Notamacropus eugenii: one gene and its partners. The protein of the gene in region 1 purifies or fractionates together with the protein of each later gene. This does not show direct contact. Links are inferred from orthologs where the notes say so. Each region holds a gene or a part of one and is shown on either strand. Other genes may lie near its edges. The genes, in order: RBBP4, MTF2, CBX1 and ARID4B.

Evidence for each region.
Region 2: the proteins of RBBP4 (region 1) and MTF2 purify together in Homo sapiens (affinity purification with mass spectrometry; 4 studies listed by BioGRID and IntAct, with this or other methods). This does not show direct contact. The link is inferred for Notamacropus eugenii from reciprocal best matches to the Homo sapiens genes RBBP4 and MTF2.
Region 3: the proteins of RBBP4 (region 1) and CBX1 purify together in Homo sapiens (affinity purification with mass spectrometry; 3 studies listed by BioGRID and IntAct, with this or other methods). This does not show direct contact. The link is inferred for Notamacropus eugenii from reciprocal best matches to the Homo sapiens genes RBBP4 and CBX1.
Region 4: the proteins of RBBP4 (region 1) and ARID4B purify together in Homo sapiens (affinity purification with mass spectrometry; 5 studies listed by BioGRID and IntAct, with this or other methods). This does not show direct contact. The link is inferred for Notamacropus eugenii from reciprocal best matches to the Homo sapiens genes RBBP4 and ARID4B.

The regions. Positions count from the first base shown.
Region 1 is NC_092876.1:77,230,967-77,237,815, forward strand, and holds the start of RBBP4 (histone-binding protein RBBP4), read right to left. Parts: upstream 3,015-6,849; 5' UTR 2,957-3,014; coding exon 2,902-2,956; intron 2,702-2,901; exon of another isoform or gene 2,370-2,701; coding exon of another isoform or gene 2,354-2,369; intron 2,074-2,353; coding exon of another isoform or gene 1,887-2,073; exon of another isoform or gene 1,687-1,886; intron 1,085-1,686; coding exon 937-1,084; intron 1-936. Other genes in the region: ZBTB8OS (protein archease), read left to right, coding at 1,887-2,073. UniProt on the Homo sapiens protein: Core histone-binding subunit that may target chromatin assembly factors, chromatin remodeling factors and histone deacetylases to their histone substrates in a manner that is regulated by nucleosomal DNA.
Region 2 is NC_092873.1:267,995,934-268,003,913, reverse strand, and holds the start of MTF2 (metal-response element-binding transcription factor 2), read right to left. Parts: upstream 3,008-7,980; 5' UTR 2,567-3,007; coding exon 2,562-2,566; intron 1-2,561. UniProt on the Homo sapiens protein: Polycomb group (PcG) protein that specifically binds histone H3 trimethylated at 'Lys-36' (H3K36me3) and recruits the PRC2 complex, thus enhancing PRC2 H3K27me3 methylation activity.
Region 3 is NC_092873.1:353,053,708-353,061,041, reverse strand, and holds the start of CBX1 (chromobox protein homolog 1), read right to left. Parts: upstream 3,008-7,334; 5' UTR 2,865-3,007; intron 2,784-2,864; 5' UTR 2,720-2,783; intron 2,347-2,719; exon of another isoform or gene 2,023-2,346; intron 785-2,022; exon of another isoform or gene 666-784; intron 1-665. UniProt on the Homo sapiens protein: Component of heterochromatin. Recognizes and binds histone H3 tails methylated at 'Lys-9', leading to epigenetic repression. Interaction with lamin B receptor (LBR) can contribute to the association of the heterochromatin with the inner nuclear membrane.
Region 4 is NC_092873.1:394,938,891-394,946,722, reverse strand, and holds the start of ARID4B (AT-rich interactive domain-containing protein 4B), read left to right. Parts: upstream 1-4,821; 5' UTR 4,822-5,257; intron 5,258-5,955; 5' UTR 5,956-6,007; coding exon 6,008-6,013; intron 6,014-7,832. UniProt on the Homo sapiens protein: Acts as a transcriptional repressor. May function in the assembly and/or enzymatic activity of the Sin3A corepressor complex or in mediating interactions between the complex and other regulatory complexes.

The DNA of each region.
Region 1 (6,849 bases):
AAAGGACCTTGGAAATGTTCCAAGACCAACCCCTCATTTTACAGATGAGAAAACTATTAACTAAAGCTAAGTGTTTGCCCAGGGTCCCACAAGTGGTAAATGGTAAAGCCAAGAATCTATCTAGGGTCTTCTTCCTCCAAATTCATCATTCTTAGGATTACACTGTATTTCAGTTTGCTAAACCTTCACATGATTACTCAGCTCACCAAAAAAGAAAGTCAGTTTTTCTTCTAGATTAGCAAATTCTTCACAGTAGTGATTATTTATGTGAAATTACTCAAACTATTTTGTCTCTATCTTTTCAGGCACAGGAATAACAAAACACATACACAAATAGCTATCAACCAATTTAGATATAGCTAGGCAGAGTACTGGTCTCAGAATATGGTCTCAGACACTTATACTTAATTTCACTTAGCCCTAGTTTCCTCATCTGTGAAAGGAGGATAAGAGTTTACCACTGGGCTGCTGTCAAACTCAAATGAAAATGACAAATGTAAAGCACTACCACCTCCCTAAATTATTGGAGGGAAGAGACAGGGAGGACAATGGACACAGTCCCCATGCATTGAATGGTAGGGTCCTTAACTGTGGAAAAAATAAATTTGATTCCAATCCTAGAGTAGATCCTCAGATCTAGGATAGCTAGATGGTACAGTAGATGGACTACTGGACCTGGAGTCAGGAAGACACCATTCAAATCCGGCATGGGACATTTACTAGTTTTGTAACTCCAGGCAAGTCACTTAATTTCTGCCTCAGCTTCCTCATCTGTAAAACAAGGATAATAACAGCACCTACCTCCCAGGGTTGTTGTGGTGTTTTAATGAGATATTTGTAAAGTTCCTTGTAGACAATAAAGATCTATATAAGAGCTCACTATTATTATTTTGATGCCACTCCTAGTGCTTTTAACCATTAAGATATTCAGATCACCTGGTTACATCTGGAAGCCACTGTGCAGTCAGGCTGGGCCACTCTAGGGCATGGGTCATCACTAAGTCATAGAGAAAAGGAGTATTTTTTTTCCATATTTTATACTCCTCGTTGATCACTCGTTCTTCTACAGCATCATCAAAGGCTGCTAAAAAAATAAAATAAACGGAGTTAACCTCCAGATGTGAGTACTTTGAAAAATGAAACATGGCACACATTTCTTTCCTCAGGCAGCTTGTGAGGGACAGGAGTATCCAGCCCCTTGTACAAGGTGTTAATCCTCCAAATCTTCCCCCTTTCCCATTTGTGTGGGACTGTAAAGAACTTCAGGGCTCATTTCATAGGTTTAATGGCTGGAAAAAGCTTTTTGGAGATTGAATTCAGCCCCTTCCTTTTTCAAATGAGTAAACAGGGGCTAACAAGAAAAAAATGGGACCGAGCCAGTCGAAGGTGACAAATCTTACTGCGTGCTTAATACAAAGAACGCACTAAAGGTGCAAAGGTTAAAAAAAATACCCATCCTTCAGAAACATTCCCGGAGGGTGAGCGGATGTAACACAAATAGATAAGGAATGGGATTCTCCAGTCAGAAAGAGTGCTAAGAGCGAGGGCGAGCACGTCAAGGTCCACTTTACTGGAGTTCTTCCAAGCTTCCCCCGGGAGACAGGACGCGCGAGGAGCCCTGCGAAGTCCAGAACTCCGGGACGCCCAGCGGGGGGGAGCGCTCCAGGCAGGAGCCGGGGCCGAGCTCGGGGCCGAGCGGAGGGGTCGGCGAGGCTCCACCGGGGACAGCGTCCGCAAAGGCCGGGCTGGACCACGAGGGACTTCAGCGTCCGCGAGGGTTTCGTCCTCCATCCCGTGCCCACTGGGGAGCCCGCTGGGGGCACGGGCAAGCCCAAACTCGCCATCACACCCGGGCTTCAGGCGGATTGTTCAGGAGGCGGGCACGGATGCTGGAGAAAGCCCCCAAGTCTCATCCTCCAGCTCTCCAAGTGAAGCCACCTGTCCAAGGTCACTCAGCCGGCGTAGCAGCGCCGTCGGTCGGCAGGACTTGGGTTCCGATTCCGCCTTGGCTACTCGCTACCCCGCGAACTTGGGCAAGTCCCGCGCCCTCGTGCGGCCTCAGTTTCCCCAGATGTAAGAAGCGGGGGATGGAATCCCCAACTTGGCAGAGCTCGCCGCCGCGCACCCCTCCCCCCAGCCCCAGGGGGCCTCCTTCCTGGGGACGGACACGTAGACCAGGCGGAGAGGCCTGCGGGAGGATCGCAGTCCCGGGACACCGGGAAGAGCGGGAGGCCGCGGGTGGGGAGGGCTCCTCTCACATCCCTCCCTTCGCGGTCTGGGAGGGCCTATTCGGGCGGCCGGGAAGGCCCCCTCCTCCGCGCTCGGCCCCCTTCCCTCCCCCTGCTCTCCTCACCTTCCTTGTCGGCCATGGTGGGCGAAGAAGCTGACGGACTGAATGACGGGCGCAGGGGCCGGGGACTCCCGGGGTCGCAGCACCGCGAAGGGGGGGGGGGTGAGGGTGAAGGGGTGGGGGTGGGGAGGGCTCGACGGCGCTCGCTCAGAGCGCGCGGCCTCTATTGTTTCCTGCCGCCCCTGCGTGTGGCCCGAGTCGCGCACCTTCGCGCCAACGGCGGCCAATCGGAACAGGCTCAGGCGAAAGGAGGGGGGCGAAAGGGGAGGAGGGCGCCACGGCGGTGGCCAATTGGAAGGCGCGTCGCCACCGCGAGCCGGCCTCGGCCTCGAGGTCTACCCCTCCCCCCAAGGTTTGGCACCGCCTCCTCCTCTCCCCGCGCGGTCGGGTTGCCGAGATTAGCGAGCGCGCGCAGCCCAGCCGCCCGGGAAAACGGTTGGTGGTCACGTGAGCGGGGCGGGAGGGGGAGGGGAAAGCTGGAAAACGGGGGAAGGCTCGAAGCTCCCCTGGGAGGCGGCCATTTTCCAAAGTCAGGCTCCATTAAGGCTCACCCGAGGTTCTGGCTTTGACCTCCTTCGACGGGAGAGTCCCAGGACCCCCCTCCATTGAGGCGAGAGGGAACTTGGGACCCTTTACGGAGGGTAGCCCAGCTTCTTTCCTCGGGGGCGAACGCACCGTCACCTAGACCTACAGTAGTGTAAGGGCTGGGGGGGAGGGGGGAGCCAATTTAGCCCCCGACTGTCTCCCTGTCAGCTCCTCCCACTACGTGATAAGGCCTAGGGTCAGCGACCGTAGCGGAGGATGGCTAAAACTGAGGCCTGGCCCTTTAAGGGCACGCGTCGCGGGGCGGGGACTCCGGGCGGAAGCTGCGCCGGCGAAGGGCGGAAGCGGAGCCTTGGCGGAGTAAGTCATGGCTCAGGAAGGGGAAGACGTGAGGGACTACAACCTGAATGAAGCGCAAAAGGCGATCAAGGCCAAGTACCCCCCGGCCACCCGGAAATACGAATGTGAGTGCTCTTCCTCTCAGATTTGGGGCGGCCTTCTACCTAGGGTGGAGAAGGGGCGCTCTCGAGGCGTGAGACGGCCGCAGTGGCAGTCCTTGCCCCGCGCCACTAATGGACCTTGGGCTCCCTCGTCTTACCGCGCCCCATTTTGCAGAGGTGTAGCCTGAGATGGAGAGCCCAGAGTCCCACCGAGAAGATGCCCAGGGCACACACTCCACAGGGCCCCTGGCCGGTTTCCTGCTCGCGTCCCTCCCGGGTCTGAGCCGCAGCGTCCTTTTCTGTAAAAGACTAGATCACAGGATCGCAGATTTAGAGTCGGAGGGCATTTAGTCCAGTCTCATTTCACAGAATCCTCCCACCCATTGAGAAGGCAAGCTGTGTGATGCCCATTATGTGGATGAAGGCATGCAAAATATGGGTCTATATTGGCCATGTGTTACGGAGTATGTTAAATATAAATGTGTGCGCTATATGCGTTTAAAGTTCTTAGGGTTTTGGGGTAAGAGTCACGGGATTATAGATTTACAATTAGAAGGGATCTCAAAGGTCATTGGTCTAGGCTTTCATTTTACAGATGAGAACATGGTTCCAGAGAGGTTAAGTGACTTGCCTAAGGTCAAACTGGTATTAGAAACTCAGCAGAGTTTGGAATTTGAACTCAGGTCTTATAACTCCAAGTGGGATGTTCTTTCCATTGGTTCACACTACTATAGTAAAGTAGGAGAAGCTGCTGAGTAAATTTAAAGGCAGGCAATAAGTATTTAGGGTCCTTTGTAGTGGATAAAAAAATGAGTTCATAAATATTTTAGTGGCCACTCTATACAAAGGATTATACTAGGTATTTTTCCCTTAAAGAATTTATGGTCTAGTTGGGAATCCAGAACTAGTATGCATGGAAGAATTAGAGAGCATTATAATAATATGTTAATTGAGCATTAAAATTGTAGGTTGCTACAGGAGTTCAGCAAAGAGGGAGATAAGGGAAGATGAGTTAGGGAAGTTGGCTTGGAATTGGTGGAATATACACTAGGCTGGATAGCTTTTGAGTAGGCAAGAGGAGAAGAGAGACAGCATATGATTGAGAGTAAGGAGATGAGGAGGGCATATCTGTGCAATAAGTGTGGAAACAAATGGTTGATCCCTTTTGGGGGAGTGATAGGAAATAGGTAGGGAAGAGTCTTGAAAGCCAGGTAAAGGAGTTTGGATGGAAAGTGTGAAATACAGTTCATGTACTATTCAACCTAGTGCAAGTCACATTCTGTGAGTTTCCTTTCTCCCAATATTTTTAAATGGGTGAAATCTGGTTAAAGTAAACCTCTAGGGCAGTCTTGCTGAGGAGAGGGCATAAAAGTCCAGTTGTGGTTGTTATGTAGCTGTGTCCAACTCTTCGTGACCCCATTTGGGGTTTTCTTGGCAAACATAATGGAGTGGTTTGCCATTTCCTTCTTCAGCTTATTTTATAGATGAGGAACTGAGACAAACAGGGTTAAATGACTTGCCCAGGGTCACACAGCTAGTAAGTGTTTGAGGCCTTATTTGAACTCATGAAAATGAATCTTCCAGATCCTAAGCCCAGTGCTCTATCCACTGCACTACTAAATAGTCCAATAACTATATACAACCTAATGTGTATGGAAGAAGAATGAGGGGAGTGTTGTCCAGTGTCTTGTCTTTTCCAGCATGATTGTATATAGATGAACATCTCTGTTATTTCTTTAACTTTAGCTGGGTCTCTGTCAGCCAATCAGTAAACATTTATATGTGCTAGGCACTCTCCTAAGCACTGAGGTTACAAAGAAAGGCCAAAGACAGTTTCCACACTCTAGGTACTTACAATCTAATGAATAATCCAGTCCTGAAGCCTAGTGGAAAATAATGAGATGACTTAATGGAGGATCTGGTAGGAGATCTCCAAAGTCCACCCTCCACCATCTCAATTAGAGGAAGGTAGGGGCCCCAGGGAAAAGGGGTATAGAAGAGGTGTGAGTTTCAGAGTTGATTTGGTATCTTCTTTCAGAAGGATGAGCTTCTGGAGATCATGAAATCAGGAGTGTGTGTGGGGGGGAATAACGAGATGGCTACCCTCCTTAAATGAAGGATCTAGGAGGTGCTCTGGCCCTATTTTGTCTCCTCGTCTTCTCATTAGAGCGCTCCTTATTCTTAAGTGGAATGATTATCCACCTTGGTCCTCATTTATTTTAGGATGCCTTAAAAATCCTAGTTTCTGTTTGAGGTGCTGTTTTTGGTTCAAAGTAAGTTGTAGTGTAAAGAACTATTAATTACTCATAAATATTACTCATTCATTATTTCATTTCATCAATAATATTTATTGACTCCTTAAAAAATTTGTATTTTATCCTATGGACAATAAGGAACCATTGAATAGTTTTCTTAAAATATCATTTTTCAAAAGCAGTCTAGCAGTGAATTAATGGTAGGATAATTTAGAAGGAGGGTAATATCAGAGGCAGGAAGATTAAGTTACTATAATAATCTGGATAGTGATTATAAATCACATTTACATATGCCAGATATTATATATTATGTAATGTAGATATAGTATAATGTATATTACTTTATAACACTTTGAGGTTTCTAAAAGATAAAGTAAGAGGAACTAGCTGATGACAGTGAGAATGGAAAGGAGGAATAGATGTGAAGGGTGTTACGGACTTGAACCTCAGAACAGCCCAGTGAAATGGAGAAGGTATTATTCTCATTTTTAAAGATAAAGAAACTGAACCACAAAAGAGTTAAATAGCAACCAAATTTATACAGGTAGTTAAGTGGCAGAACTGAGACTAGAAATGAAGTCTTTTAATTACTAGTCTTGTGTTCTTTCAGTCACACTATGCTGTCTTCCCTAGTATTATGAAAATAGTAGCAAAAATTATTCTTATCCCTTCCTCTAATTATAACCATTAAGCTGTGTTACAGATATATGAAAATATTTATTTCATTGCTACTTGAGTGTTTTGTCTGTGAGCAGAACTCTTTAGATACAATAGAAATTGTATAGTATACCATACAGTGTGTGTATGTGTATGCATGCTATAAGTACCATATAAAATGTGGTTTTGAGTGCTTTTATGAAGCTTATAAAACATAAGATCTGGTTTCTACTCATGAGAAATTTTTATTCTCTAGTATTCTAGCTGCCTGAAAAAGCAAAATTTAGAGAAAGTTTTTCGTTTGTTTTCCATGGTTATATTGTAATTCCTTGAATGATATTGTACTCAGAAGACAGTAGTATTTAATAATTTAATTTTTAGTAAAAACTTAATTTTCCTCATTGGGGGAAAGTCAACTCGGGTACACTTTCCTGTGTTTTTGTTGTTTAATGATGAACGGAAACCACTTGGTTAGATATATTTTTCTTTTTAAGAAATAGCAATTTCTTAGATATTCTCCAGATCACTTTGAAATCAGAGATCCTGTTATTTCCTTTAGGAATTGTCAAGTTAGTTTAGTTACAAGTTTGACTTGTTAAATCTA
Region 2 (7,980 bases), on another chromosome or scaffold:
AATCAAACTTGAAGCAGATCTTGTAAGTAGTTTTCTACTGGTCCAGAAATGGCTACCCTGATAGTTTACTGTTAATCTTCATAAATATGACAGAATGCACAAAGTATAGGAAGGATAGAAAATGTCTAATTAAAAAACATTAAATGAATTTAACTTTTCTATATGTATCAAATCCACAGAGCAGTATCTTTCTTCAATAGTACATTCCAGTAATTTTTATATTGTATTCTATTTCAATAAATTATCTATCATAAAAACAAGTAAAAGGAAATCAATAAACATATTACTTTGGGAGGCGGTATTCTAGATTAGTGAAACAAAGATAGTTATAGTTTTCAGAAGGTCCTATTCCCAGCATCACCATTAGCTAGCTAGAGACTGTGACAAAACCAATTTCTCAAAATTTCAATTTCTCTGTTAAATTGGGTTATCACTATCTGTTCCCTCTCTATCTCAAATAAAAGTTGTATGGTCAAACCAAATGAAATTGTTATCTGTGAAACCCTGTCCTAATACTAATAAAGGCAGTCCTCTCAGTCCACAAATATTTGGTGGGGTACATTATCTACAAGACACCATGAGGGAATAAAAATATGTACAGCAATCTTTGGAGGAGGGGTAGAGACTATGTGGTTTCTGATATAACTTATGAAAGCTGTTAAGGTTATTCAGTTACCCAAATCTGTAAAATAAGGGAGCTGAACTAGATGGTGCATCTAAGGTCCCCAACAGCTCTACAATTTTAGACCTGGATCTATACAGATATGGTTGAAGATATGTTGGGTGGGAAGGAGAAGTATCTAGATCTGTGACTTTACAGGTACTTCCTTCCAATAGGCTTCCTCTACCGAAAACATCTGCCACCGTTTTGCAAGTTAGTATCTTAATAAAGTTTCTAGGGTCATTGAGAGGTTAAGTGACCTGTCCAGAGTCATACAGTCAAGTATGCATAAGAAGGGGGATTAGAACAAGTTTATATTACTAATTTCCTTTAATATTAAAAGCCTTTATGTACACAAGTCAAGAAGCAGGAGAATAACGAAATGAAGTATTTTAGGTAGTTTTTAGTATTTTGGAAAAAATCTTCTGAAGGCAAAGGAATCATTAAATTTAACTTCAAACATTTTTACTTAAAGGTTCTGAAATTTTTATCTTGCACTGTTTTTCAAGCTGTCATTGCAAGTACAAAGCAAACAATGTTCCAAGTCTCAAACAAAGAAGAGAATATTTTACATTCTGAAATGTAAAACTGTTTTCTGTCCACAACTACAAGGTTCTTAAAGCTGTCATTCAAAATGGTTCCCTTTAAAGAACCTTTAAAAAAAAGTACACAATACATAGGGTGCATTTTATTGAAACCAAAATAGATATTTTAAATGTACTTTTTTTTGCAGTCCGCTAAGCACAGTATTCGGAGCTAGTGATAAAAACATGAAAATTAAAACCTGTCTGTAAACAAGCTAAACAAGAGGGTCACATGGATTTAATCTAAAGGGAAAAAGCTTCTGCTACCACTAAAAGATGTGGAGTAGAGTAATATTAGACAATATTTACATGTTTCTAGCTATGTACTGACCTCACATTTTGTGCTCTACTGTTCAATGCAGAAGAATACCTCTATTTAGTCAGATGATCTCTAAATGCAGTAACCAAAGCAAAATTTCTCATCCCCACACGTATGCGTCCTTCCCATTGTTTCCCCCTCATTCTTCTAATTACCCACAATATTCCAGAATGCCCACTTCCACAGCAAAAGCCAAATTTCTTGATCAAGAACACTAGACTGGACACCAAGAGACCTGTTTCCTTGCCTGGTTCTGCCAATGATTTATTTAAGGATTTGGGGGTTTATGACTCAAATTCTTTAAATCCCTGACATCCTCAGTTGTAAACAAAAAAAACAACCCGAACCCCCGAACCCCATCTGGGCAGTTATGCACAATTTCTCCCTACCAAGAATGTATGGAGAACCGAGTTTTAAGGAAATCAAATCACGGAAACTCCACAAGTTCCATCCTTTTTCCACTTAGTCGTGTGTCCCCAGCCCCGGCCCGGTTCCTCTGAGACCTAGCTGCTTTTTCCCATCCCCCTTAGTCTTTACTGCCTGCCCTCCCCCACCTCCAACACCCCGATTCTTTCTCGTTCCTCTTGTCTCTCCTCACTTTCTGCACTCCCCTGGGTGCCTTCCTGTCCGGTTCCTGTTGCCCCACAGCACCCCCATCTGGGGTGGCAAATTACGCTTCCCCCCAGCCTCCCCCCAGCCTCCCCCCGCCTCCTCGTCACCAGGGCTCATCCTGCCCCTCCAACCGTCTCACGCCCCCAGGTTCCTTCCTGCCTTCAGTCGCTCGACCCTAAGCCGACCCCCCGCCTCGCCATGGTTTCCTCCCGATCCCCCCTCGCACCCAGCTCCTTCCCACCCACCCTTTTCACACTCCTCCAACCCTAAGCACCAGCTCCCCCCACCCCGCGTCCATCTTTCCCCCTTTATCCAGCCCTCCCCTCCCCCCTCTCCTGGTCCTCCGTGCCCCGGAAGCGCCGGGTCCCAGTCCAAGGTTTCTCACCTCATTCGGTCACTTCAGTGGTGCCAACCGCTTCATACAGGAAAAAAAATAAAAATAAAAATAAAAAATGAAAAAATAAAATATAAAACAAAATTACGTCCCCCTGGGCGTTTCCTCCCCCTCAGACTCTGCGCCCTCGCCAGGCCCGCGCCACACCGGGCTGCACACACACGCCGAGGTGCTGACGATGGAGGTTTGAGAGGAAGGCTGAGGGGGACGGGGGTGGAGGGGGGTGCTCACACCCGCCTCCAACACAACCCCGCTTCGCTACGGCCCTTCGCCATTTTGGTTTCCCGCGGAGTGGCGGTGCATTGTGGGAGCGCGAAAGACTGCTTGCGCCGAATGGCAGCTCTCCAGAGCCGCGGGGGGGCGGAGTCTGAGAGGCGGACGCGGAAGGACGCGGTGCCCTTCGGCTCCGGCCTTGAGTGAACAAAGAGGGACTCTTTTAATTCCTCGGTCGACGGGCATGGGATCCTTCCGCCGCCGGCACTAGCACAATAGCGCAGCCGGGGGAGCTCGCGCTGCGCGTTGGCCGGCGCTCCGGGAGCTGTCGCTGCAGGATGGCGCCGGGCTCCGGTCTCGCCGACCGAGCGTCCTTTCTTGTTGCTGCCGTTTCGGAACGGCGTCCGCGGCCTCCGCTTCCTGCAGCCCCGGCCGCGTGACTCGAGGCAAACGCTCGCTGTTTTACAAAAGACGGGCCCCCTCGTCGGCGCCTTTGCTCTTAACCCCGGGCCTGCTCGTGGTCAGTCAGCCTTTGATCTCTAAAGCCCGGTGTCTTCTTGGAAAAGTGTCAGATTTTTTACGCTTTACACTCTGAGGCCGCAGACTGGCCATCGCAGCTCCGCCCCACGCATTTTACAGAGCAGGTCCGCGGGGCTGAAGAATCCCTTCACCGGGCGAACTTAGAGGTTGCTTTTTTTTTAAATTCCTTCTTACAATTAGGTAAGCTCCTTGAGGGTAGCTACTTCGTTTTGGGGGTCTCTTTGTTCCCTGAGGTGGGCGCTTAGTGGGCATTCAGCCTAAATGAGGTAATGAATTCTTGGATGCCGCCCTCTCTTCCTACTTCAAAGTGCCCTCGCGCCCACCTCCCTTTTTACATAACAATGGCCAGTTACAAACCGAATTCGTGAACATTTCCTCTTGTTAATTCTTCAAAAGAAGAAGTGCGGTGACCCCACCTCCCAAGAGAAAGGAGCACGTTCGGAGATTATGCGTGAACCGCGACTTTAACCCCTCCCCCCCCTCTCCCCCCGGTTTTGTGTCCTTTAAACCCAAGGTAGACTACACTGACCCTTCGAGGAAATTAGTTCAAGTGACCCCCTTGAAAAGAAAGAAACCGGTTCGGGGATGAAATGATATGCTTAACTCTCTAATCCACAGTTTCTCTTTTTGCAATCCATTAAGACCTTTTGAGGTAGTGTCCCCATTTAACAGATGAAAAAAACTGACTCCCAAAGTTGAAGTGATTTGCCTTAGGTCATGTAGCTTCTTAGCGGCAAAACTAAAACCTGACTTTTAAATTGAGTATTTCCATTGTTTCAGAGGTTCTTAACCTTGTCTGTGCGTGTGTGATGGATCCCATTTACAATCTGTGAAGCCTATGAACCCCCTTTCAGAAAAAATTTTTTAAATATATAAAATAAGACACGGAATTGCAAACGAAAATAATTATATTGAAATAATTATCAAAACTGTTTTTTAAGTTCACAGACCCCAGGTTTAAAACCTCAACACTACATACCATGATTCATCTTAGAATAACAAAAAGCGACTCCTTCGGGGAATCTAATCCAATGCAACAAAAGTTAAGAAACCTTTTAAATATATATTATATATATACATATATATACATATAGAGAGAGAGAGAGACTTAGAGAACAGGAAGACCTCGGTTGAGGTTCCTCCACTGACATAGACTAGCTGTGTGGACCTTGGACAGTCACAACCTTTCAATGCTTGACTCTAGGCAACTCTTAGACACAAAGTTTTGAGAACTGTTAGTTGCTGATTTTCGGTGGTAGAGGGAGTTTCTTCATTTGAATTCCCTAAATCATTGAAATGACTGCTCTGGCAAAAAAATCATTGAAATTGCTGATCTGGCAAAAAATGAAAAACAAAACCTGTTCAAAGCACTACCAGGTGACAGGGAGACAAAGCAAAGGGGAAATTGTCCTGTCAACGAAGGAGTTTACATTCCACAGTGGGGATACAACATGTAAACTGCTATGTATGTGTATAGATAGTCATTTTGAATAGAAGGGAAGGAAAGGGAAGAGGGAGAGAGAGAGAGAGAGAGAGAGAGAGAGAGAGAGAGAGAGAGAGAGAGAGAGAGAGAGAGAGAGAGAGAGAGAGAGAGGAGATAAGGGTAAGTTTTCCATCGGAGGTGGCACATAGAGCAAGTCTTGAGAGATCCTAAGAGGTGGAGATGAGTGAATGAATGCCAAGTGTAGGAAATAACTTTCACAAAAACACAATTCTGTGTTTGTATTGCTAAATTCAGGGAAGAGCAAGGCCAATTTGGCTGGAAAGGGACTGATGTACGATGAGTCTGAAACGATGGATTGGAACCAGATTATAATGCGAAGCTCAGGAGTTTTGATTTAATCCTTAGAGGCAATAGGGAGCCATGGACGATTTCTAAATAGGGATGTGATATGATCAGACTTGTGGTGACCCTGAATGATTAGAAGAAAGAATAGTTGTGTTTTGGCAGAAATAAGGAATTTTAGAAGAGATTTAGTTTAAAGGGAAAGATGACGAATTTCATTTGGTAAGAGAAGAGTTACAGATTCTGGGTCAGACTCATGGTCTATCTAGACCAATTGCCAACAGAAGCCCCAAAGAATGAGTAATGGAAAGTGATTCCAATTCAACAAAATTTTATTAAGTGTTTAGTGCCTGCTTTCAATGAGCATATGATTAAGTGGCAATGGAGTAAGATATTTACACAAAACTAGAATACACAAATAACTAGAATACAACTTAGATTAAGTGAATAGAAGAGCTCAAGCAGTAAAGTCAAAAATTTGAAAAAGAAGAGATTACTGTAGGAGGGAGGAAGGAATCAGGGAAGGAGCATTCAAGAGGCATTTCATCTGGATCTTGAAAAAAAAACAGGGTAAATGGGGAAGGGATTTATTCCAGGTTTTAGGGATGATATATTTAGTAAAAGGCAAGAGAAAATTAAATCAGGCAACAGTTACTATTTTAGTTTGACTGGAGCATATGAAGGGGACTAGTTTGAAATAAGTCTAAGAATGTACATTGTAGAGAGCCTATAATTTTAGGCGTAGTTGGTATTTTATCTTGTCAGTAATGGGAGCCACTGAAGCATTTCAGGGCAAGGGAGTGCTGTAGTCATAGCAGTAACTGAAATAATGCTTTAAGATTTGCAAAGCATTCCTTCCTAGACGTTATCTCATTTACACTTCACAACAGCCCTGTTTGGTAGGCACTATAGATGTCAACTTCATTTTCCAAATGAGGAAATTGGGGATCAGAATGGGCCATGACCAACGTGTTGGAGATAGGATAGGTCTTCATGACTCCAAGTCCAGGGAAGTCAACTCAGTCAGTCAACAAACATTTATTAGGCGTTTACTATGTGATAGGTACCTGGAACAAGCACTAGGATACCAAGAAAGGCAAGAAACAATCTCTGTCCTCAAGAAACTCCAGGTCAAACAGAGGAGACAACATATAAACAACTATGTACAAACAAGATATATACAAGACAACCTGGAGATAATTACAGAGGAAAGTTACTAGCATTAAAACAGAAATTGGGAAAGATTTCCTGTGGAGGTTAGGATTTTAGATGGGATTTTAAGGAGACTGCGATGAGGAGGGAGAGCATTCCAAACATGAGAGACAGCTAGTACTGTCTAGTACTAGTACAGCTAGTAGTCTGGAGTCCAAAGATGAAGCATCCTCTACAAAGAACAAGGAGGCCAATGTCAGTGAATCATAAAGTACATGAAGGGCAGGGTAAGGCATAAGAAGACTGGAATGCTAGGAAGGAGTCAAGTTATGAAAGGCTTTCAAGCCCACAGGATTTTATTATTAATCCTGGAGGTAATAGGGAGCCACTTGTCAGACTTTTGCTTTAGGAAGATCAATTTGAAAGCTGGGTGGAGAATAGATTGTAACAGTGCAGAGACCAAGGAGACCAACCAGCAGGCTATAACAGCAATAGTCCAGGTGTGAAGTGATAAGGACCTGGACTGGACTGGTAGTAGTGTCAGGGGAAGGAAGGAAACATATATGATATATATTACAAATGTAGAATCATTAGAAATTGGCAATAGATGGGATATGGAGAGATGAGAAAGAAGGAAAGAATGAAGAGTTAAGGATGATAGGTTGCAACTATGGTGACTAGGCAGATGGTGGTACCTTTGAAAGTAGTGAGAAATTTAGGAACAGAAAAGGGGAAGGGGGAGGGGGAGTGGGAAGATAATGAGCTTAGTTTTGGTTATGATGAATGTGATATGTCTGTGGGATGTCCACTTCAAAATGTCCAATAAATTATTATAAAACCAGAAATCATGAAAGATTAGGTCTTGGACAAGTAGATCAGTCATCTGCATAAAGATGATTGATAAATGAAACCATGTGAGCCAATAAGGTTACCAAATGAAATGAGAAGAGAAGAAGGTTCAGGACAGAGCCTTTGGGAACCCCAGTAGTTAGAGGACATGATCTAAATGAAGATACAGCAAACAAAAAATAACAAGTGGGAGAACCAGGAGAGAATAGTATCACACACACACACACACACACACACATCACTAGAGACGAGGGTATAAAGGAGAAGGTGATTGATGGTATCAAAGATTGGAGATAGGTAAAAAATGATGAGGATTGAAAAAAGGCCATTAGATTTGGCAGTTAAAAGATCATTGTTAACTTTGAAAAGAGTAGTTGACAAAGTTCAAAGCCAGAATGTAGAAGGTTAAGAAGAGAGTGAGAATAAAGGAAGAAACTGTCAACAAGGAGGGAAAAGGACGTTGTCAGAAGTTGGTAAAGATGCATAAGAAATTCACGAAATGCCTTAGATTTTAAAAATGCATGTGCAGAAGACAAACACCTGAGCTTGAAATCTGAAACCTGCCATCATTTGACTCTAGCCTATTTTTCTAGACTTATTGTGTATCATTCACCTTTATATACACTCCATATTCCAGTTAAACTACTCCCGCCTACTGTTATTGTCTGACTCCAGCATTCCATCCTCTCTCTCTGTGCCTTTAAACAAGAGGAGGCATCGTGGAATAGGAACGCTTGTGCACTAGGCGGGTTTTGCTAGCCACTATGCAAAATGCTGGTGATACAAAGAAAGGTAAAAACCTGGTTCCTGCCCTCAATGACCTCATATTCTAAATGCAGAGGCAATCAGCAAAAATAAGTGACATATGCA
Region 3 (7,334 bases), on another chromosome or scaffold:
GTCTATCACAATCTATTTCTATCTCACCTCTTCCTCTCAGAAGTCCTACCTTCCTTCAAAGCTCAGCCTGAAGAGTCCTGTTCTATATATGGCCTTTCCTGATTCCCTAGCTACTAGAGCCCTCATCTCCAAAGACTGTATGGTAGGATAGGTCAGGGACTTTTTTGTTTTTCTTTGTACCCCCAACACCTGGCACAATGCCTAGAATGTAGTAAGTGTTAACAAATGCTTTTAACTAGTGAACGAAACTGCACCTACTGTTCTGAAAATGACATTATATAGCAATCCTCTTTTAAAGGTGTACTTAAGTTCTCTCATTTAGAAAATTCCTTTCTGGTATATTTCAATATCGTTTGTCCAGAAGGGGTTAGAAAAATTCAGGTATCTAACCACAGGTACAAAGACAGAGGAAGAAAAGAGTAGGCACATCTTTTCTTATCAAGAACCTGGCATAGGCTATAGCACTATCCTCCATATCCTCTACTCACTTTTAAAGAAAAACAATTCGGAATATATAAGCTATTGGGAACAAAAATGTCATTATAGGAAAAAAACAAAACCAGAGGCTTCCTTTAACTTCCATATAAATGTCTGGAAGGCTTCTAGGGAGGATCACAGTATCTATCACATGCTTCTACTCACTTTCAGACTTTTCAGACACTCACCTAACTGCAGAGATGACTCTTCATTTGGAGGCAACAGTGAAAATAAAGGGCAGAAATCATTGCCCTTAGGTAGCTTCATCCATCAACATGCATTTGTTAGGCCCCCTGCAGTCACGAAGCTTACATCCCACAGGAGAAACAACATATACACATATAAATAAATGCAAAATATACTTAAGATATAGGAGGGCAGAACATACTACAGGTTAGCAAAGGCAAAAAAAGTAGGAAAGGCCTCTTGTAATAGGTGATGCTGAGCTGAGCTTGGAAGGAAGCTAGGAATTCGAAGAGGCTCAGGTGAGGAGAAACTGCATTCCAGGCATAGGAAACAGCCCCAGCAAAGGCACAGACAGGATGCCTCCTGCTAATATGTGCATACAAACCTAACAGAACTAGAATTTAGTCTTCAGGGTAGGGTTAAAAGAGGTGTAAAGTGGTTCTCAAAGATTTCCCAGGTTTGGCTCCCAAGAACCACCTAAATTTACAAAAAGGGCATAAAGAAAAGGCATCCTCTTCTACACACTTTATCTACCAGGGCAATTCTTTCCAAAGAAGGTAGTTACAAAACCTTAACGTCACCAGCAGCCATTCAGGGCCCAAATTTGTCAGACAAAAGGCTGAACAGAGGAATACAATTCAAGGCCTCAAAGCCCCAGGGTATGGCTCCATTCATGTTTTGGACTATCAGGTAAACCAATACTTAGGCTTTCCCACCAAAGATCGATGGAAAGCAAGGCCACCATCCAGGGATCCAGGGAAAGCAGAAGGGACTTCCCAAAGATCACAGATTTAGGGCTGGAAGAGACTTTAGAGGCCATCGAATACAACTGTATAGACCAGGAAACTGAGACTGAAAAAAGGTTGTGGGACTTGCCCAGGATCAATCAGCTAACATCTAAAGGTGGGATTCAACAACTCCAAGTCTTCCTCACCCTGAAGTCTGACGAAAAACTTGAGCACAAGATCTCCGCTACAATCTTCTGTGGAAAATATCTTGGAATGGGGGAAAGGGGCAACGTCGTAATGAAAAGTTCATTTCACTTTCCTATTGCATTTGCCTTGGAAATGATTCTTCTAATGTAACATGGGTGGAATTTTATTTCAAAATTTCGTTGCTAGTTGCTAGCATGAAGTACATCAAGCAAGAGAACTTCGGGTTCTCAAACTTTTTGCCTTAACGCTTCGTCCATAAGAATTTATTAAGTGAAGCCAGGCACTGCGCTATACGCTCCGGGGACACAAAAGAAAGAGGAAGGGTAAATCTCTACCATCAAGGAGCTCACAGTGGGGGACAACACGAATACACAACCACTTATCTGTCGAGTCAACAAGCAATTATGAAGCGCCTTCCCCTTACCAGGCACAAGAAAAGCTCTCCTGGAGTTCACGTGTAGTGGACAACCTGCAAACCATGTACACACTACAGACTGCATCAGCTGGAGATAATCTACAGTTGGAGATGGGACCTCAATTCCTGGACGTTATTCAAACCTCAAGTCTTTTTCTTAAAAGCATCAACATGCATCAGCTACAAAAAATCAAGTTCCTCCCCACCGGGGCAGAAGAAGGGCGTTCAATGCCACCTATGCCCCACCCCCTTTCCTTTACAGAGTAGCGGGTAATAACAATACCGGCTAAAGTAGCTAAAGCTCCGCCCCTCCTCCCCCACAGCCCCGGGGCCACATTCCTTCTCGCCAGGGGGCCCCTTAACCAAGGACCCCAGAAACTAGGACCAGCGAAGCGCCCCCAGCACGCGCGGGGTCCAACCCACCACACCGGCCGTTTCCGACTCGGGATTCCTGCGCCGCGCGCGCTCCACGAGCCCCGCCCCCTCCCGGGGTCTGCGCGCGGGAAGGGACCGAGGACTGGGGGAGTAGTGGGGGAGGGGGTGGGGGTTGCCTCCCGCGCGCCGGGTTCCTAACGGCCCTACTCCCATCGGCCGAGAGCCCTCCCCACCCCCCGGGCCCCCCTCCTCGGTTTCCCAGTGTCACCAGACACATCCTCTCATATACACACTCTCAGACACACAAACACACACACCCCTCCCTCCTTACCTCAGAGCAGCGTCGACTCAACCCGGGGGGAATCGGTGTCGCGCCGCTAGCGCGTCGCAGGAGGCTGGGGACAGCGAGAAGGAGGATGAGCTGTCTAAGCCAGAAAGAGCGGCGGCCGCGGCTAGAGCCTGGTGCCCCTCCTCACCTAAGATAGGCTAAGCGAAGCTCCCCCGGGCCCAGCCAATCGTCCCAGCTCCGCGGAACAAAAGAGCCCCGTACTCAGCTCTGCCCGCCGCGCGCAACGCGCAGGCGCCGCGACCCAACGCGGGGCAGTGTGGAACTTGAAGTCCCTCCCAGACTACAAGCCCCAGGGTACTGCGAGGGAAGGAACGTGGTGACGTCACCCAACGAAGCTCCAAGCTCTGGGTAGCGGCTCCAGGGACTAGTACTGTCTGATTGGATTGTGGCACGTGTAATCAACTCATCTAGCAACAAGCATTTATTAAGCGTCTAGAGACCGGGCAGGTTGCTAGGGATACCGAGAGACAAGTGCAACTGTCCCTTTGCTCGCGACGATCTAGACGTAGAAACACATTCACATATGCCTTTGAACCAGTCTTGTGAATTCAAACGTCTTGGCAGTTCTCTGTAATTTCTATATTAAGATTACTGTAATAAATAATTACAGTACTTATTACAAATTAAGACATATTATACTATTGTAAAGTAAGAGGCATATTTATTAAGATATAAATCTAAACGGTTTGCCTGGAATGTTGGGAGATTAAGCAACTTACCTCGGGGTTCTGAAGTAGAATTTAAACTGACTGAGACCAACTCGCTCCCCACTTACCAACACCGCTTCCTCGTTGTCAAAAATGTATACAAAGTAACGAAAAAGGTAATTAAGTAACCATATTTAGGGCTCAAGGTACTAGCGCTGGATGGGATCGGGAATAGCCTCAAATAGGAGGTGAGGGTTGAGCTGCAACTGAGTTTCAGTTTCCTTTGAATAAAACTAGAAATTCTTTGAGTCTCAGAGTTGAAAAGGGAATTCATTCCTGGGAAAAGGGGGGGAGAACCCGGCGAAGATAAAATGTCCCTGATGAAGAACAAAGAAGTCCAGTTTGGTGGGTGTAGAATTCAAAAGGAGTGCCAGGTGGTAATGTGTAGTAGGTTTGAATTAAAATAGGCTGGAATTTGTAGCGGGAATAGGGTTCCGCGCCTGAAGTCAATTAGGATTTACAGCTCTGCAGTCTAGGCAGGTTGAGAAAGGTGCATTAAATGTTACTGGATAACATTTTTGACTGATAAATCATGGAACTTAAAGCCCATGGAGCATCACAGCTCATCTTTTTTTTTTTTCTTCTGTCCCTCACAAGTATATGTTTTCCACTAGCCTTTCTTCATTTTCTTCCCCCTTCCAAGGCTAACCTGTACTCTTGATCCCTATCTCTTCCCCCATCCCCACCTTGTCTAAGATATTGATCTCTCAATTACTCCTTCTTATACGTTGCTTTCAGTCTGAGATTTATCCAGACTTGTTTTCTGACTTACCCATAAAGTTCCTTCTCCTGACTTTGCTCTGACTGTTCCGGTGGCAAGGAATTCACTGGCTTCTTTCAGAATCCCTGGTTTTCTTTAAGATTTAACTCAAGTTCCACCTTCTATATGAAGCCTTCCCTGATTTCTGCATCAGCTAATATACTCCCTTCCCAAACTACCTTGTAATTATTTTGTATATATGTATATTACATACACAAATATAAATGTCTCCCCATAAGCTTTGTGAGAGCAAGGATTTCATTTTTGTCTTTGCATCCTCAGTATTTAGTATAGTGCAAGGCACATACAGGTGCTTAGTAAGTGCTTGTTAATTAATCAATTCTTCTCAAATCTTCAATCTTTTCATTTTGCTCATTTCCTACTATCAACAAGTATGCATAGATATTCAACTTACTCTTCCCCTCAACCTCCTCTCCCCGCTAAAAAAACCTTAAAAGAACCCCTTCCTTTTGATCCTGCTTTGCCCCTAGGATCTATTATCCTGTTGTCATCTTCTGTTAGTCAGATAATAGGCTTTTAGAGTTGGAAGAAAACTTGTAAATCATCGAATCCAATTTCCCCCCCCCTTTAGAAATCTCTTCCATAAGATACCTGACAGCTTGTCATCCAAGCCTATGCTTGAACAGAAACACCAAATCATAGACTTCCTTCTTCTCCACCCCCAAGTCATCTCTTTCCCCCTTATAAACATCTCCCGTTCCTTCACTCATTCATGTGAGAGACAACATGGTTTCTTGGCAAAAATATTGAACCAAGTCAGGAAAATGGGCAATTCTATCCTTTTCTTTTATGATCTGTGCTGATATGGCAGAAGCAGTGACCTTTCAGTCAGACCCTTCCTTTGTCCCACATCCAGGGGGAGTTTATCAACTCACCTTTAGAACAGATGTGCACCTAAGGGTTGAATGGAGCGTAAGTAAATCATCCTTCATCTCCACCCTCTATAACCAGCCAAGCCTCATCTTATCCAACTATCCTGCCTCCAGCCCTGGACCAGAACACCAGGGTCACAGCAGCATATGTGTCTTATCATGTGCTCTTGCTGTACTTTTTGCTCTAGGAATCATAATCAAATCAGCCACACCACTGAAACACCCTTTCCAGTAGTAGTAGACATATCCTATAACTTTACTCAGAATCTCCATAATTGAGAGTCCAGGCTGCCTAGCTTACATGGTAAGCTCCCTGCTTATATGACAGGAAGAGGGGCAGCAGGATCAAGAGAAGGAGTGGTGGGGTTTTTTGGCAGGATGACTGGAGGGAAGGTTTGTGATAAATCAATCCATAATCATTACAAAATTTTTTAAAATTACAATTGACAAGAATTCATTTTTTTCTCACTTTCATCTCCACCCTAATGGAAAAAAAAAAGACAAAATCCTTGTAACAAATACGCGAAACAAATTCTTACATTAACTGTTGGGGGACAGCTCTGGACCAGGGTCCCCTGTGAGGACCGTGAGACGCCTGAGGGTCCAAACCTGCCCCCTTGTGGGGTACTGGGATGGCCCTGGTAACAGGCTGACTCCACCCGCGGGGAGGCACTTGGGAGGAGCTCGCCCGCCCATGGGAGGTACGGGGGAGGAGACAGGGATAATAAAAGGGGATGATCACAAGGGCTTAGAAGGAGAAGGAGAAGGGGAAGAAATGCAATAAAGCTTGCTGACTGCAACTCCTTTCGGGTGCTCTGCCTGTTTATTGCCCTCCCCCAACCGGGAGAGGGGCCGGAGACGTCCGAAGACCGGGGATCGGTAAGTGGAGAGGCGAAGGCCCAGGAGTAGACCCCGGGCAATTAACCATGTCCCAAAATATTTATCTTATTCTGCATCTGAGTGTATCCCCTCTCTGTCAGATGGTGGGTGACATGATTCATCATTGTGCCTCAGGAAGTATGATTGGTCCTTATATTGCTCAGAGTTCTTAAGTATTTCAAAGTTGTTTGTCTTAACTGTGTGGTCATTGTATACGCTCTTCTGGTTCTGCTCACCTGACTCCATCTATTCATATAAGTCTTCTCCAATTTCTCCGAAGCTACCTTCTTCATCATTTCTTCTAGCATAAGAAGTGTCAGTGGGGACAGAGAATAGGATTGGTAAGGATGAAAGAAGAAGAAAAGAGGAATGTTAGAGTTATGGACCATTACATTCCTATACCATAATTTGTTTATCTACTCCCCATTTAATTTATTGTTGAATTTAATGATGGGTACCCATAAATTTCCAGTTCTTTGTTAACACACAAAAAAGCTGCTGATAATATTTTTACATATAACATTCTTTTGCTCTTTCTATGATCTTTTCTGAGATCTAGGTGTAATAGTAGTATTGCTGGCAGAAAGGATATGCATGGTTTCATAAATCTGGGGGCAGAGTTCCAAATCAACAAGTATTTATTTAGTGCCCACGTGCCAAGTGCTTTCTGGAAAGAATTCTGTGTATTCTATGGTCACCACTCCCCTTTACTTCATCCTCAGTTTCTGTCAACCCTGATTCTACTCTCTTTCCCTTTTCACTTTCATCATACCTTCTGGAACTGCCTTTCTATTGTAAAGCTGTTCCTTTGTTTTATACCTCTTCCTTTCATGCTTCTTTCATTTCCTCAAAGTTATGCAAACCGTGACTCTCCCCAGAAGGCACTACATCCCTGGTCACCTTCCCTCATCTCCTGTCTCATCACCCACATACTGAACTAAGACAGAAAAGCAGGCAATTTTATCTTTGTCATTTATGCACTGTGCTGATGGCACTTCCCTACCGGAAGCAGTGAACTTTTAGACAGATTTCTGTAGACCCTTCCTCCCTTTCCACTCAGAATCCAGGGGGAGTTTATAACTCACCTTTAGAACTGTCTCTGGAGCAATACTTCCCTAAGTGTCAGTTGGAGTCAACGTGCTTCATGCTCCTCATCGACAGTTCTATACCTCCCCCACCCCTACTTCCTCCTCCATGTTACTCAGCCACATTTCATCCTTAGAGCTTCACTGCATCTGGACAGATCACCTTGTCTAATGGTTATTATCTACAGTCATTCCAATCATTCTCCCTCTTTTCTCAGAAAATTCATTATCTGACTCATGTCTCCCTCTCCACACCAACCTGTCATACTTACA
Region 4 (7,832 bases), on another chromosome or scaffold:
ACTCCAGTAATATTTTTTTACTTTACTCTTATTTGTTCTAAGTACACTGGTTAAAATGTGGCCCAGTTGTTTCTGAAACCAGAGCAACTTGTGCAAGGCTAATTAAGCTGTTCAAATTTTGTCAAATGCCTCATGCAATCTACACATGATGTGCCTATATCTTCCTGATTTATCAGTCTTATAATTTTATCAGAAAAGGATCCAGAATCATAGAATGGAAATTGGAAGGGACCCTAGAGGCCATCTAGTCCAACTCTTTCACTTTACATATGAAGAAACTAAGGCTCCGGAGGTTAAGTGACTTGCCCAGAATCACAGAGGAAACATTAGAGATAACATTTGAATCCAGGTCCATTGACTCCAGAGTTGGCGCCCTTGTCATGGCATCACACTGCTAGAAAGATTTTTCTGGGTGTACTTTTGTTTGTTAGTTTCTTAGATCATCTATTTCATGAATTTTCTATTCAGTAACTGATTTAGAACTTGATGAAATTTGCTTCTTCCTATCTAATGTAGGTTAAAACACCAAGATTGTTAAGGTCACCTAAATTAGGAGTAAACAGACTATAAGTGTAATGTATAAAGACTGGGGCATGGTCTTTTGTGAAATTTATTTTGGATGCTTAAAGCTTTGTTTTCTGATTCTCAGCAGAACTGTAGAGAAGTTGCTGCTAAATGGAGTCTAATAGTACCAGGTATTTGAATCTTTGATAACTTTTCTTAGTTTTTTTGTTTAAAAAAAAAAAAAGTTCCCTTTTCTCAACCCTCTTACTCACAGTACTGTTCTTCCTCAGTCTCCCTTGTGGTTCTAGTGACCTTCACTGAACAGATAGGATAATCATCTCAGACTCTGATCTCATTCTCTATAGGCTCTTGCATACAAAGAAAGAGTTCTTATACCTCAGGATTTCCACCCCTTAATACCATGGTATTAAGCCAACAATGTAATAAGCTTTGAGAATCTAGCCTGCTTGAGGTGTTACACACAAAAGAAAGCAGTCTTACATTTCATAATTATTTGCAGTTTAAGAAAAAGACAAAACAAAACTTTTTCAGGTCCTTACTACTAATATTTGACATTTGACCATTTATATAAATATGCAGATTCCTATAATATATGTTAATGCTTTGATTTTATGGGCATAGATGACAAATACATGACTCTAGTAGGCTTTACGATGACAAATGGTAATGAATTTCAAAATGAAATGCTCACCCTTATATAAGGAAATAAAAGAAATGGACCAAGCTACTATGATCATACGCTAATTACCTCTTGCAGCAGCAGGCCCAAATGATCAGTTGGGCAAAAATGCAATAGCTTCTAAGCTACAATATACTACTTTCCACATGATTAATCCTAATATAATTTGTTTCAAAACTCTATATTGCATAGACTCACAGCATCTTGTATAACACAGTTGTTTACCTACACAAAGCAGATAATTTTTCACCTGCCATGACAAGATTACAGAGTAAATTCCCTAAATTGCCCCACATCTGGCAGAATACTATTATGAATATGTCTGGAAAAAGGGATACAAGAAAAATGTGATATATAAGATTTTTAAAAGCTCTATCTCTATCTTAAACCAGTTTTATATATTTATTACACAGAGATGTAATTGAACTTTTGCAAAGTATCTTTGGAAATAATAATGACACTAATGTGACACTAATGTAATAATCTGTGATCTGTCCTGAGATGGTACATTACATTTCAAATTGAAGGTCTACCATGATCACATCATTTAAATAAATTTTTTAAAATCATGGAAAATAAAACTACCTTCATAAAGACTGGGCATGAAGCAGTTCTACAATTGTCTCTTGGGATAGTTTTGTCCTGTAAATTAGAACATAAGATGCCAGACAGCAAGGACCAATTGTATGTTTCACAATATCGAGCACGATACTGGGCCCATGGTAGGCTTTCAATAAAAACTAATTGATACTATTAATTAGCCATGACTTTGAACAAGGCATTTCACCTCTGTGGACCCCTTTTTCCTTATCTGTAGAAATGAGGAGGTTGAAAGAGATGGTTTCCAGGATATCTTTTAGTCTTAACATTCTATGATTCCACTTTCTCTGTCTAGCAGAATGTTTATCACTGTGTCTTTTCTAGGAAGGAAGATACAGGAATAATAGTGGGGGAATAAGAAAAGCTGTTTTGTCCTTGACTAACACACACACACACATTTTAAAATTTAGAAAGTGTTTTACATACATTTTCTTTTTTTTCCTTTGGAATGTAGGTGTCATTTATTGAAGGTAGATTACACAATCTGTTCTCTCCCTCCCTCCACAACACAACACGCAGATTTTCTCATTTGATCCTTGACAGCCCTGTGAGAGAGGTATATACTAAAGGCATAATTATTCCTATTTTATAAATGAAGGAACTGAGATTTAGAGTGGTTAAGTGATTTGCTCATGGGCAGACAGGTAATGAGTACGAGGGGTCCTTCCCTATCTCCTTATTGTTTTGCTTTAGAAGACAGAATATGTTATCTACTGTGGAATATGTCCTAACCTGATTCATCTATAAAATCTTAATTTTTTGCAGCAGATATACATCCTCAACCTTTTAAATTTAGGTATCAAGCTCCTTAGTTCAATTAAGTTCATTTGTGGTACATGACACCCAATGTTACAGGAGAACGAAAAACTACAAATGTCTCCCTGGAACAGGCATATAACTACGTTATTCCTCGTTCTTCCGATTGGAAAAACAGCCTGGGGCTTGCAATCAAAAAAGACAATGAGGATCGTTAACCTGAAAACTTGGTTAAAGGAAAGACATCAGACTAAAGGCATGCGTTATTTTTTAATTAATTGATTCCCTCTTAAAGATAACAGTCATAGCGCTATGGAGTCATTTGTGACTCTGACTACTTAGTACAGAAATCATCTGTCTTAAGTACATTTTGCCGTGAGAAAGAAACTCTCCTAATTAAGCAAATCATAAATTCAGTAAGACAGGACAATTAACAAAGCAATGTCAGTTGGGCCTTGAGATTCCAGGCTGTGTAAACATATAGTCTCGGTGACAAGGAAGGAAATCCCACCACCAGTGAGTGACAGGCTTCCTGCCCTAAACAGATAACTGACATAGGAAAGGGTAAACAAAGTTCAATAGAAATTACGATCTAAGATGTTTATATTTTCTTTACCACTAATATGCCATAACAAACATAGTATATGTCTATAGATAATAAGATATAGTGTCTTAGGTTAAAGGTCTCCTAAGGAATGTAGACTCAGCCTTGGCTGGCTTTTGCTGACATAGGAAGAGGCATTCTCTGAGTTTGCTTCAGAGAGAACAAAGAGATTATTCAAAAATTTTATATTAAACATTATCAGGATCAATGCGAATGATCTATCAAGCATCAAATGATTCCTGATTTTTTTTTTTTTTGCAAAATATAAAGAAGGTCAAAATAAAAATTTTTGCCAAGTGAGTGCATGTGTGAAGCCGGATGCTTTCTCTGGATTCGGAAGAGCTAGAACTCAACACCAAAACCTTAGGATTATGAGTCTGAGGAAATCTTAGATTTAAAGCAGGAAGGAACTTCCTACTCTGAGGGTTAATTCTTAGAGGGGGTGGGAGAAGGGCGAGGAAGTTTGTGAACTTGTAAAAATTTATTTTAGTAAGTGCATTTCAATGATTAGTTTACTTTGTAACCCTATGGATTTTGTGAATTAAGAAATAATGCTGTGAAAGGGTCCACAGGCTTCGCCAGACTGCCAGAGGGGTCCAGGGCACAAAATCCGATGGAGAACCCTAGTTCTGAGGCCCTCAACTTAAAAGAAGAAATTGGAGGTCTAGAGAGAATTGGTGTCCCCCTTGTGCCCACAGCACCACCGCCTGAATTCACACCCGGGTCCTCTGACTCCAAATCTGGCTCTTAAAAAAACGCACCAGGAAGTCCCCAGGAAATTGACAAGGCGCAGGCAACCAGACGTTAGCCACAAGCCAAGGACTATTAATTGTATCTAAGCCAGCCCCTCCTCCGCCGAGATCACCGCGTCCGACTCCCTCTTCATACGGAGCTCGCACTCCCGCCTCCATCCTCCCTCCCTCCCCCCCTGCCCTCCAAGAAAAAAAACACACACACATACACACAGCAACCCGCTTCAGCATCCGGGTCCTTGTCCTTCTTTCTTTTCTCTCCCCGCCCCCTCTGGTCTCTCACCATTCGGGTTCCCCCGCCGCCTCCACCTCCACTCCCGGTAGAACGGTAATAATGCTGTTTCACACCGCCGATCCCGAAGCAGCACTACCGTGCCTCAACTTCCTCCTTTATAGTTCACTTTGAGGCTCCTCCCGCCACCAACACGAATCCCTCCCACTGCTTCACTTCGGCACTCTCCGCCCTTTTCAGCCGCCAGCGACGCCGCATTACTCGGTGCGAGAAAATGCGCCATCCCCGTCCCACTGCGCAGGCGTCGCGACCGCCTCCCTAGCGATAACTAGCTCTGGGCCTCCTCCGCCCTCCACTCCACTCCTATTTCCCGCACGCCGAAGCGGAGCATTAGGGGTTTTGCAGTCTTTGGCGGTGGGAGGCTGAAGCTTTGGCCCCTGGGGATGGACTACAACTCCCAGCAAGCTATGCAGCGTAACTTTCTGTTTCCATAGAACTGGTGGAAAATGGCGTCGGTGTTTGTATCCCGGGGACCAATAACGAAAGGGTGGGGGCGGGTTCTAAAGATGACCAGCCAATCCCAGAGCTCCTAACGGGCAGACTAAGGAAGGAGGGCAGCTAGGGGCGGGAGGGAAAACGAGGGGAGGGAACAAGGGGAGGGGAAGGGGGATCGGGGGAGGGAGGGGGAGTGATGTTTGCCCGTCAGTCGAGTCCGGAGTGAGCTGCTCAGACACCGGATCGGAGTGGAGACCCTGAGCCGCTGCCGCCGTCACGGCCACTGTCTGGACCAGTGCCCGGACGGAGCCGCAAAGGGTCCATCGCTGTCTTTCTTTGGAGGGGGGCCCGATTTGGGGCCCGGACCCAGAGTCCGGGAGGGATTTTCTTCGTTCTTTGCTCCCTCCCCCCCAGCGAGGGAGCCAGAGCGGCCGCCAAACAAAGGTACCAGCCACCGCCGCGGGAGGAGGAGGAGGAGCCGCGGCCACCGCCGGACCCGTGGTCTCCCCTTCCCCCATCTCGCCCCCCGGGCCCGCTCCCCGTCGCCGGCTTCGGGGTGGAGCAGGGGAAGGGGACTCGGGACGTGACGGGCTTCAGCCTCAGCACCCAGCCAGGTAGGGGCATTTTCTTGGCGGGGCAATGCGGCGGCCAGAGGGGACACGGTTCCGGGGCGGTCGTGGGTCCCCGTATCTCCCCCCCACTCCGCCCTCCCTCCCCAGCCAGGAGGAGAGTGGTCGCCACCCCCGCGGCGAGCGCCCGAGCGCTGGGCCCTGCCCGCCCGCCTGGCCTTCGCCGCCGCGGACTCCGAGGCTCGTCGTGCCTCGGCCAAGTGGGAAGAAGGAAGGGGCGACGGGCCTCGGAAGCCCTGGGCAGGGACCCCGCCGTGGGCGCTGGTGCTGCCAGCCCCGCGGGGTCCCCGGGCTGGGCAGCCAGTTGTGGGGGCGCCGGCCTGACGGCCCCGCTGGGCTGCAGGCCGGCCAGCCCGAGCTCGGGGCGGGGAAGGATCCGGGGCCGGACTCCGGGGTTTGTTGTGACTTTCTCCTCTGACAGAAATGGCGTCATTGCCGGAGACGGGGAAACTCCACCGGGTCCGACAATGGGGAAGCGGCCCGGCCCGGGGGCGGCGGGGGGATGCCGGAGGGAGAGTCGGCCCCGCCGAGGGCGAGAGCCGGGCTCGGAGGGACCTTCCTTCCGGGAGGCGGCGGAGCGAGGGAGACTTGCGGCGGGGGGTTCTGAGCCATTTCCTCGTCCCCCACCCCGCGGAGAACGGGGTTCCTGGGGTGGTGATTCGGTGTCTTTTGTTTCACCTCAGGTGCAGGTGAATTCTGTGTCTGCGAGAAGACGGCGGCTGCCGAATCACCACCATGAAGGTAAGAAAGGGTTTCATGCGAGAAGCCTCCGGGCAGGGGGTGGGGCGGTGAGGGGGAGCCGGCCGTGTCGAGGTCCTTCGGGGGCGCGCAGAGTCCTGCAGAGCTCGGGGAGGGGATGGGGTCCGAGCTGGTGCATGTACGCCGGGCCTGGCCGCGGAGCTGGGGCTCTTCGGTGGGGAGAGGAGCTTAAGAGGAGCCTTCTTGCCGGGGAGAGAGATAAGAACGGTCTCCCTGACAAGTCTGAAAGCCCGTCAAGTTACCTCCCTCATCTGGAAACTGGACATGGTGAGGGTTCTCAGTCAGTAGAGACAAAGCGAAATTCTATTTTACGTGTGGGTTTTTAAACAGGTAATTTTTACTCTGCTGAAGAACTGTTCTTTGAATTCTGGTTTGAAAACTGCCGTGTGACTTGTATTTATTTCCAGGGACACAGTGCTTTGTGTATGACTGTATGGGATCCGTTCCTCTGCACTGATCCCTTTTGGGTTAAACGTTTTCAGTCGATTCATGCTTTTAGGAAAACTTTTCCCTGTGCTCAAGCCAGAAACCTGGAAAGCTGATAATCAGTTTTCCAAGTGGTGAGGATAGAAATCATAAAGGACAGTGCATAAAATGCAGGATTTTTTTTTTAACCTTTTGGGTTTGCTTATTTGGTTGAACATATTGTAGGCATAAATGTCTCTGTTAGTTTACATTTTCAGCTCAGCTAGGTATTGAATATTGACATTTTCACTTAATACACACTAGAAAGAAAAGAGAATTAGAATTTTGAATCATTTAGATTCAACTAGTGGTACCAAGCCAAGCAGACATTTTTCTTTTCTGTAAAAATTTGCTATGCTTGAAAAAGGTGGGTGTGTTCGTAATTGGTTATAGTAATAATGCTGCAAACTGTAGTAGGTTAAAATTTAAATGCTAGCTACTTTAGACAGTTCATTGAACAGTCTCTATATTTTGGTTCTATTTAAAATCAAGGCAATTTAAAAAATACTGTATCAGAATTAAAGCTTGTATTGCATAAGTTTATGGAAGGAAGTAAAATGCTGTAACCTTTTGAAATTCTGAGTACTGCATAGCCTATCCAGTTTTTGCTAGTTTCTTGGGTTTGTACTTTATGCATGTATATGAAAAGGTTTTTCATTCTTCCTCTCATTTTCTATATGTATAGTTCAGTTAAAGAGTATATAAAACTAAATGTGTCTGTGAGACCTGAAAACAAACAAGCATGATTATAATAATGACAATGGGGAATGTGTGTGAGACTACCAGAAGTGAATTCATTAAGAAAACCACAGTTCTGCCACAATTTTCATAAATTTCTTGGGAAAATATTGGGCTGAAAAATACATTAAGTTTAAAAATGGAGCAATATTTAACAGATAATTATGAAAGTTTTTAACAGTTATAACTTAAAGATTTTCTGTTTAACTCATTCTTTAAAGAAATAAATTTAGGCTTTTAAACAGTTTTATGTGTCAGAACAAAATCAAATTACACTTGGATATTTGTAATTGCATTTAAAATTGTTAGTTTTTGCTTAAATGGTACCAATGTTAAAATGCTTGATAGTTTAAAATGAACTAATTTTACATGCTACTATTTTTGGCATCATAATTCAGCCCTTCGGTTAAGAAGAACAATGTTGGTCAATGACATTGTACTTTTTTCACGTATAGACCTTAGCTTTTTGTGTGCAACCTAATTTTATGTGGTAAGTTAAGTTCTTTAGATATTATTATTTTGCTTGTAATTAAGGCCAGTGTCAAAATTGTTGTATTTTTATGTATCTGTGGCCCCAATTTCTATGATGATTTAGTAG